2 linked regions of the Yarrowia lipolytica genome follow. The protein of the gene in region 2 purifies or fractionates together with the protein of the main gene of each other region. This does not show direct contact. Links are inferred from orthologs where the notes say so. Each region holds a gene or a part of one and is shown on either strand. Other genes may lie near its edges.

What was found. The genes of interacting proteins can lie anywhere in the genome.
Region 1: the proteins of YALI1_E37387g (region 2) and YALI1_F27132g purify together in Saccharomyces cerevisiae (affinity purification with mass spectrometry, with the first as the bait; 4 studies listed by BioGRID). This does not show direct contact. The link is inferred for Yarrowia lipolytica from reciprocal best matches to the Saccharomyces cerevisiae genes UTP22 and UTP30.

What each region holds. Positions count from the first base shown.
Region 1 is NC_090775.1:2,711,926-2,714,978, reverse strand, and holds YALI1_F27132g (uncharacterized protein), read left to right. Parts: upstream 1-1,714; coding exon 1,715-2,548; downstream 2,549-3,053. Other genes in the region: YALI1_F27141g (uncharacterized protein), read right to left, coding at 1-836; YALI1_F27101g (uncharacterized protein), read right to left, coding at 2,779-3,053. UniProt on the Saccharomyces cerevisiae protein: Involved in rRNA-processing and ribosome biosynthesis.
Region 2 is NC_090774.1:3,734,701-3,740,316, reverse strand, and holds YALI1_E37387g (uncharacterized protein), read left to right. Parts: upstream 1-1,625; coding exon 1,626-5,099; downstream 5,100-5,616. Other genes in the region: YALI1_E37392g (uncharacterized protein), read right to left, coding at 114-1,088. UniProt on the Saccharomyces cerevisiae protein: Involved in nucleolar processing of pre-18S ribosomal RNA and ribosome assembly.

The DNA.
Region 1 (3,053 bases), on a different chromosome or scaffold from region 2:
CCTGTCCAATTAGGGCGTTTCGAGGCTGCAACCTTGGGAGCGTTGCTGGTGTTTCGCATCGCGACCATAGACTCGGGAGGCATGATGTAGTCGCGTGACGTGACAGGGTGGTCGTGGGGGTGACCTGGAACTCCTGCTGTTCGTCGGAAATCGTCCATCAGGAGCAGATTGTCTCCTCCCTTGACGGCCTCTCCGAGTCCCTCGAGCACAGGATCCACGTTCAGGTCCTGTTTGGGGTTGAGCGACGTCTTTTGACGTTTTCGTTTCCGTCCGTGAGCCTGTGCGTCTGATTCTGTACCTGCGCCAGGCTGGGGAGCGCCTCCAGATCCAATCTCGACAGCGGCAGCAGCCACCATCTCGTTGAACTCGTCCTTGCTGAACTCCTTGTTGAACTCCTTGCTGAATTCCTTGTTGAATTTTTCCTGGAAGTCTCCCTCGCCGGCAGCAGTGGCAGCTGCGACGGCAAACTGCTCCGAAAACAGGTTCTGGTTCCATGGCGTGTCAGAATTGTCGTTGAGAAATTCCCCATAATGAGCAATGTCTTCGTACTGCTGCTGCTGCTGTTGCTGCTGCTGTTGTTGCTGGCCTGCAGGAGCTCCTCCGTTGTTACCGACACCAACACCGGGCTTCTCCTTTTCGCGTTTCTCCTCGTCCTGAGTGAATCGCACCAGATGCATCAGAGCGCCCTCGACGGTCTCCTCGCCCACGTCGTCCTTGGTATTGTTGCCATCGCTCGTCTTTTTGTCATCCTTGACATTGCGAGGATCCTTGCCTTCGTCTTGGAGATCCAGCAGCGCCTGTGCGCCTTCCTGCGCGGGCTTACCCTCCTTGGGCATCTTGTGTGTAGGTGGCTGTGTGGATGTGAGTGTCACGTTGTGGTCTGGCGGCGTCTGGCGTTGTATCACGTGGTGCTCGTCGCGTACACTGTTTTGCGTTTTCCTGTATCTGTCCAAAAACCGCGTTTCGCGAAACGAGACCGGGTAATATCGACCTTGGGCAGATGGGAAGGAGTGTTGTAGATGAAAACTTTTCCGGGTAACTCCCCTCAAAACCTTGTTGTTGGGAGTGTCTGGGGGTGCTCTTGTGTGTAGCCTCCGTTGGTCTATGCCTATACGCGATGTTGTATGGCTTTACGTGTACTGTATCTCTGTGTGCGGTGGGCTTGAAAAGCAGACAGTGGTATAGGAAGATGAGAGTGTCAGACACTATCCAGCTACCATTATATCTCCCGTGGCTCACGTGGACAGCAGGTTTGCTACATCTTGGCTGCTTCCATACTCTATTTTACCGTGATATGTTGTACGCCACAATCAAACAAAGTTGGAGGCGGTCGATGTCAGGACGAGGGAACTCATGACTGGTGGCGAAGATTGGTGTGTGTATAGTGCTCGCTGTGTCGCGTTGTTCGTGTGGTGCGTGTGCGAGTACTCGTAGTTGTAGTCGTATTTGCTCGGATAGGCCGTGATTCCATGAAACATTCTGTCTGTGGCAACGATTGCCGTGTCCTCCATCATCTGCTATATGACCTCAACTTGGCCATCATAACATGCCGAACCTTCCTACCATACCAATGTTGTCACAAGTAAAGCCAACTAAAGTTAGTTGACAGGAGCTCAACTAGTTTACCCCTAGCAACCCCTAACCCATACAGCTCACATGCAGGTCTCGAATATTTTCGAAAGATGACAAAAAAATCCAGACCACCAGCGACAAGATGAAACTCACGCAAAAGCCAGCCATTAAGGCACTGTTCAAGTCCGCCAAACAGGAGCTAACCGAGGACCCCAACCAGCGAATTCCCGTCCACCTCACCGTCACCACAACATCCAAAACCAATGTCAGAGTTCCCGGGCAGCGAGGTATGAACAACATTTCAGTCCCCTATGTCATTCCTCTGCACCACAAGATCCACAAGTCGATATCCCAGGCGAAAATACTGCTCATAGTGCCACACCCTACCGCCAAATATGCAGAGATCTTCCAGGCTGACGAAGCTAGCACCAAAGACACATTTGCTGATATCATTTCGGTCAAGAAGTTTCGACCTAAATTGCGAAAGGACCCCTTGTCTGTCGGAAAGGACTTCGATCTGATTGTCGCCGACTCCCGAATCCACGAGGAGGTCGTGGAGTGTTATGATAGACTGTCCAAGAAGATTTCTCTGAGACATCTGACTAAGCCGTTCCCCATCAGATTCATCCAACCTGGAAAAGAAGACGATGCAAGAGACGCAAACATGTTTGCCGATCCGGACTACGTCAAGGCACAGGTGCGAGGTTTGCTTCGATCCACGTCGGTGACTCTCCCCAGATCAATGGCATGCGAGCAGGGCGCTGTTAATCTGACTGCCCTCGTCGGATACCTGCCAGACAATACCGCCAAGGAGATCGAGGAGAACTCGCATCGAGTGGCAAACAACATCGTCGACAACCTCGTGGACGGGGGAGCTCGATCAACCAAAACTATTTACATCAAGAGCCCTAAGACAGTTGGTCTACCAATCTGGAGACTGGAAAAGGAGGGCCAGACACTGGAGGAGGAGGAATAAACAGCATATATCCAATAGCATTATATAATAAGAACACACCACTACAGTACAAACTGTACTTGCACCGTTAGTGGCTGTACCAATACACACTAAATACGATACTACTTGTGTCTACGGACTACAAGGACATGTTGCTCGTAGCTAACTACAGTAGTACCTACGCGAACCAATTTCTCCGGTCGTAGTCCTCTCTCATAACAATCATACCATACTCTAAATACCCTCTATATTTATCTGGAAAAGGCGATATCGTCAATTCTGAGCAGACCCTTGGCACACTCGGCGGCCAGAGTGATGGCCGAGGTGGTAACCAATGCGGGCTGAATGACATGCTCCTCCACCATAATGGACGTTCCTCGTCTCACCGAAATGCCGGCGTTGACCTCGCCCTTTTCGTGTCGAACTCGCAGCTCGGTCACAACGTTGACCGGGTTGAGACCGGCATTCTCGGCCAGGGTGGTGGGGATCACCAGCATGGCGTTAGAAAACTCTTCGTAGCAAATGG
Region 2 (5,616 bases):
TACACCAACACCATACAATCATCTACGATACATCTACGATGTCATTAACCAATGTGCTTGGGTCGCACATACTCGATATACATTAACTGGTTCAAACCCATTCACCATGCCGCCTAATCCTGCATCTTCTCGAGCTTTCCGCTTCGAGCCTCGCCGCTTGATCCAATGAGCACCACTCTATCCAAATTAGTGCACTCGTCCTCGTCCTCTCCCTCAATGAGCATGGAGATGGTCGACACGTTCTGGAACCGCACGTATCTGAGCTTGATCTCGGCCCACTCACCATCAAAAACCACATCTCCGACATGCTGGGCCTCGATCGACTGGGTGTCGTCGAACGACAGGTTGGGATGGTTGGCCCACACCTTGATATGCGAGGGGATCTGGTTGTCACCACTGACGGCGGGCTTCTTGAGCAGAATCGTCTGGATCTTGGCGTTGTTCTGCAGCTGCACGTTGAGCAGCATCTGCGAGTCTGTATCGGAGACAAACTCCTGATCGCCCGACAGCCCGTTGGTCAGCACGTTTCGCACGTCGCCGTTGTTTGCAATGTTGAGAGCCTCGGTCGAGGTGAAGTCAATACCAGAGTTGAGAATCTCCATGTTCTTGGGCACAAAAGCTGCGATGGCAGAGTTGTCAGTCGAGTTGACAGTGGAGCCAGCATCCTCAGAGTCGGCGCCTCCTGCTCCAGGAAGGGACTTGACGGCTGCAGGGTTCAGGGAAACCAACTGATCCAGACCAGTAGTAATTCCGGCTCTGTCAGCTCCAACGACCCGATTGACCTCCTTGCCCTTGTGGAAGTACACAAAAGTGGGCATGGAAGACACGGTGTACTTGGCAGCAATGTCCTTGCCCTGATCCACGTCGACCTTTGCAAATAGCACCTGGTTGTAGTCGGACTGGAGGGTCTCGACAAAGGGTGAAATCACCTTGCAGGGTCCGCACCATTCTGCGAAGAAATCGACAATGACTAGCTCGGACTTGAGCACCTTGTCAAACTCCCCCAGAGACGTGACTGTATGTAGCTTCATGGTTGTGGTGGTGTGTTGTGCTGAGTTGTGTTTTGTTGGAGGAGGTTTTGGTGTCATGTCTTGACTCTATGTGGGTTGATTGATGTGATGTGGGCTGAAGTTAAACTGGGGTGGCAAACGATGGTGGTTGTAGTAACAAGAGGTGGGGTGAAGAGGGGGAAATACAGACGGGATAAAACAGAGACAAATATATACATTGATAGCTATTACTTGTATGGAACACTTTTAACTGTCTCCTAAATGTCTCCTTGAGTGATATGAGGGGACCCACAAATAGAGTTCCATGTCTTCAACTGTGTGGACTAAGTATGGAACTATTTAGTGGAAAGAATTGTTTAAACTCTGTATGGGGACATCCCCAGTTCGAGACGTGTCAGTGTCTTTTCTTGTGTGTGTGTGTGTGTGTGTGTGTGTGTGTGTGTGTATGAAAAGTGAGAAAATGAGACCAGTATACTGACTAAGCACACCAAGAGCCCCAAAGAAATTCCGTCTCGTCGCTTCGTTGCCTCTCCATTGCAAGATCAATCTCAGCCCGTCACGTTTCAAGTCTTGGGCTTACTCCCTAACCCGAACCTTATAAAAATTATTTCATGCATGATATGGATTATTTTCAAACGCATACTACACAACACAATCATGGGAGTCAAGCGACCTCTATCCAAGGCTTCTCAGCATGAGAGCCAGAGTAAAAAGGTGAAATCCGAGGCCAAGCCCGAAATCACCTCTCTCGCCGACCTGGAGAGCGAAGACGACGACTCAGAGGACGATTCCGAAGACGATTCCGGGGCTGATGACGACTCAGACGAAGACAAGTTCTCGGACAAGGAGGAGGAGATCTCGGACAATGAACACGAGGAGAAACCAGGCCGAGTGTCGAAAAAGAAGGCCAAATTGCAGCTTTCTGCAGCGGAAATCAAGGCTGCAAAGGAGGCTGCTGAACTCTTCAAGAGTAACATCTTCAAGATGCAGATTGACGAGCTGCTAAAGGAGCTGGACGTGGATGAGAAACACACCAAGCGAATTGGCAAAATGCTCCATCGGGTCCATTCGATCATCGCCGAGATCCCCAAGGCTGGTCCCTTCGATGTGTCCAGAGCTAGCAAGTGGGCTTCTTCCCAGCAGGTGGAGATCCCCTGGAACCGACCCAGTGACAAGACTCAGTACAAATTTGCTTTTGCCAAGCCTTCAGATGTGAATGTGGTGGGATCTTTTGCTCTGGGTAGTGTCAACCGACTGCCTGGAAAGGAGCGTGTGGCTGTGGATGTTTCCGTCACTATGCCTCGAGAATTGTTTCAGGAAAAGGACTTCCTCAACAACCGGTACCTTCACAAAAGGGCCTTTTATCTGACTGTTCTGGCTGCTGCTCTGAAAAAGGAGCTCGACTGCAGCGTGTCTTACGAGACTCTGGATGACGATATTCGGCCTGTGGTTGTGCTTCGAGGAATCAACAAAAGCGATACCGATTTCGGCCCTAAGTCGCCCTTCTACATTCGAATTCTTCCCGTCATCGAAGAGGATGTCTTTGACACCAAGAAACTGGCCCCTGGCCGAAATTGTCTGCGATCCAAGGACGGAGAAGAACCCCCCACCCCCCTTTACAACTCTGCTATCCTTGCAGACATGACCACAACCCGATACCTCGGCTTCCTGAAGAAGACCGCCAAGATCGTGCCTGCCTTTGTGGCTGCCTGGCGTCTGGGAAGCCTGTGGCTCAGGCAGAGAGGCTTCTCTGGAGCTGTGGGCCAGGGAGGTTTTGGAGCCATGGAGTTTGGAATGCTCATGGCTGCTCTGCTGAGATCCAAGCAGCAGCTGCATGCCGGATACTCATCATACCAGCTGTTTAAGGGAGTGGTACGGTTCCTGGCCATTGAGGATCTGACCCGGCAGACCTGGACTTACTCTTCAGCCCTTGAGCTCAGCAACGACGCTCACTTTGAAGACAATGATACCAGACTGCCCTGTGTTCTGGACTCTGATACTGGTCTGAACATCATCGCCAAGGTCCAGCCCTGGGCATATGATCTCATCAAGCACGAGTCTCGAGTTTCCTTTGATCTCCTGAGCGACACTACGGTGGACCGATTTGGACTCCTGTTCCTGCGATACATTGCCGAGCCCAAGCTGTATTTCGACGAGGTTGTGCGTGTCCCCGTGACTGAGATTGAGGGCCATCCTTTCACTGGATCCAAAAAAGTGCAGTTCTCGTCATTTGGCAACTTCTTCGCCAACAATGTCTACGCTGTTCTGAAACAGGGTCTGGATGACCGAGTCGCCTGTGTGTCTGTCTCCATGGAGACTGGCCAAGCCTGGGACATTGATGCCAAGTTCGAGACCTCCACCACTGGCGAGGTGTCTGTGGGATTGCTTTTCACTGCCGACTGCAACAGAACTGTCACTCATGGACCCGCCAACGACGATGCCGAGGCCTGTGAAGCTTTCCGAGATTTCTGGGGCGACAAGGCCGAGCTTCGACGGTTCGCTGACGGCTCTATTAAGGAGACCACCGTGTGGAACGGTCGAGGACTCGTGACTTCTCAGATCATTCGGTTTGTGCTGGAGAACCATGTGTCTCCCTCGTGTCTGGCTGATCTGTACCTGTCTTCCGACAACTACCAGACCATGATCACGGAGGTGACCGACGCCCATTCCAAGCTCATCTCCGAGGCTCTTGTCAATCTCACTGCTGCCGTCAATCGAATCGAGCTGCCTCTGGTGGTCAAGAACATTCTTCCCGCCTCTTCGGCTCTTCGGTCGACCGATGTGTCGCCTGCTCTGCCCTTCGAGCTCAACGGCGACTTTTTCTGCGACGCAATTGTCCAGTTTGAGAGCTCGTCTCGATGGCCCGAAGAGATTGAGGCTATGGAGAAGACCAAGCTGGCCTTTTTGCTGGATATGCGAAAGAAGCTGGCAGACCAGGGATATCGAGTCATTGTTGGTTTCAACGACAAGCAAGCGTTTGCTCTTGTTCTGACGCCGGAGGGATTCGGATTCAGACTGCACATTATCACCGAGACTGACGAACTGCTGGTCAAACATTTCGTCAAAGATAACGCCAACGCTGCTCTTCGACACCTCGCCTTCCGACAGTTCAATGACGCCCCTAACCACACCCGGCTCATAACCACCATGACCACCCGATATCCTCTGTACGGAGCCACCGTGCGACTGGTAAAGGCCTGGCTGGACGCCCACTTTATGACTGCCGCCTTCCCCCAGGAGCTGTGGGAGCTCATTGCTCTGCAGCCCTTCGTGTCTTCGGCACCCTACGTGCCTCCTCAGAGCATCTCGTGTGCCTTCAACCGAGTCATTGCGTTCCTGGCGCGTTGGAACTGGAAGGAGAACCCTCTACTGCTCGATGTGGAGGTGCATCCCGATCCTTCCCGAGAACTGGCTGTGCAGGAAAATCTTTCGGACGTGACTGGAACCACCACCGACTCTGCTGTGCATGCGCAGATGACCGCTGCCTTCGCCAAACATCGTCACCTGGACCCTGCTCTTCGAGTGCCTTTATTTGTGGCCACCACCCGAACCAAGGTCGAGGACGGAGCTCTGTGGTCTGCTCCCAAGCACGAGGGGGCCGGAATCATGCTTTCTGGTCGTCTCACAGCGCTGGCCAAGGCTGCCAAGCAGGTAATCGATACCGACGGGCAGTTTGAGTCGCTCTTCAGCACCTCTCTGGCTCCCTACGACTTTACCATCAAGCTGCGAAAGGACCAGGTGCCCAAGAAGACCTCGAAGTATAAGAATCTGCAGGCCATTGTCAAGGGAACCTTCCCTAATGACGACGGAGTGGTTGCCAACTCTTGCAACGAGGCGCGTCGGTTCTACGATGAAATCTCCAACACCTATGCTGGAGCCTGTCTCTTCTTCTCGGACGTTCTGGCCATGGATTCTGGAGTTATTGCCGGAATGTGGCTCCCTGAGGCCAAGGAGCCCCGGAAGTTCCGTGTCAACTTGGAGTACGCCACCGTTCCCGATGGCTCCAAGGTGACTCTTGACCAGGAGGGTATTATTAGCGAGATCAAGCGAATCGGAGGAGACTTGATTAATAAGGTGGATGTTAAATAGCGGCTTCGTGGAGGATTTAATAATAGATGCATTGATTAGATTAGAAGAAGATGGTGGAGTCTAGATGGAGTGATATATTACACCGCAGTACGTATTTGAACCGACTTTGGAAGAACTACAGGCCAACATACCCGAACTAGCAGAGTGTACACACCCACTAGCTACTGCACAAGTGCATACCAGCGTACTGATACTTTACAATAAGTATGAGTGCGTCAGTGGACAGCCTGCATTAGCTGGCTAACCGTTGAACCATTGCTTTGCGTCTGCACGAGCGATATGGACCAGAAAACAAGAAATATGTTGTATTTCAAACTCGGAGAATGTAATTGAGAACTTGCACCTTCCATTGTACTCACAGACCGTCCAGTGTGTATGTAGTTCAACATAACATCATCTTGTAACAGCTCTAACGGGCAGCCTTACATAGACTGGTACCGATTTTATCTGATAGCCATATGGGATCAGCTGCTGTAGATGAATCTATACCCTTACCAATTCTTGATGCGGAATCGGT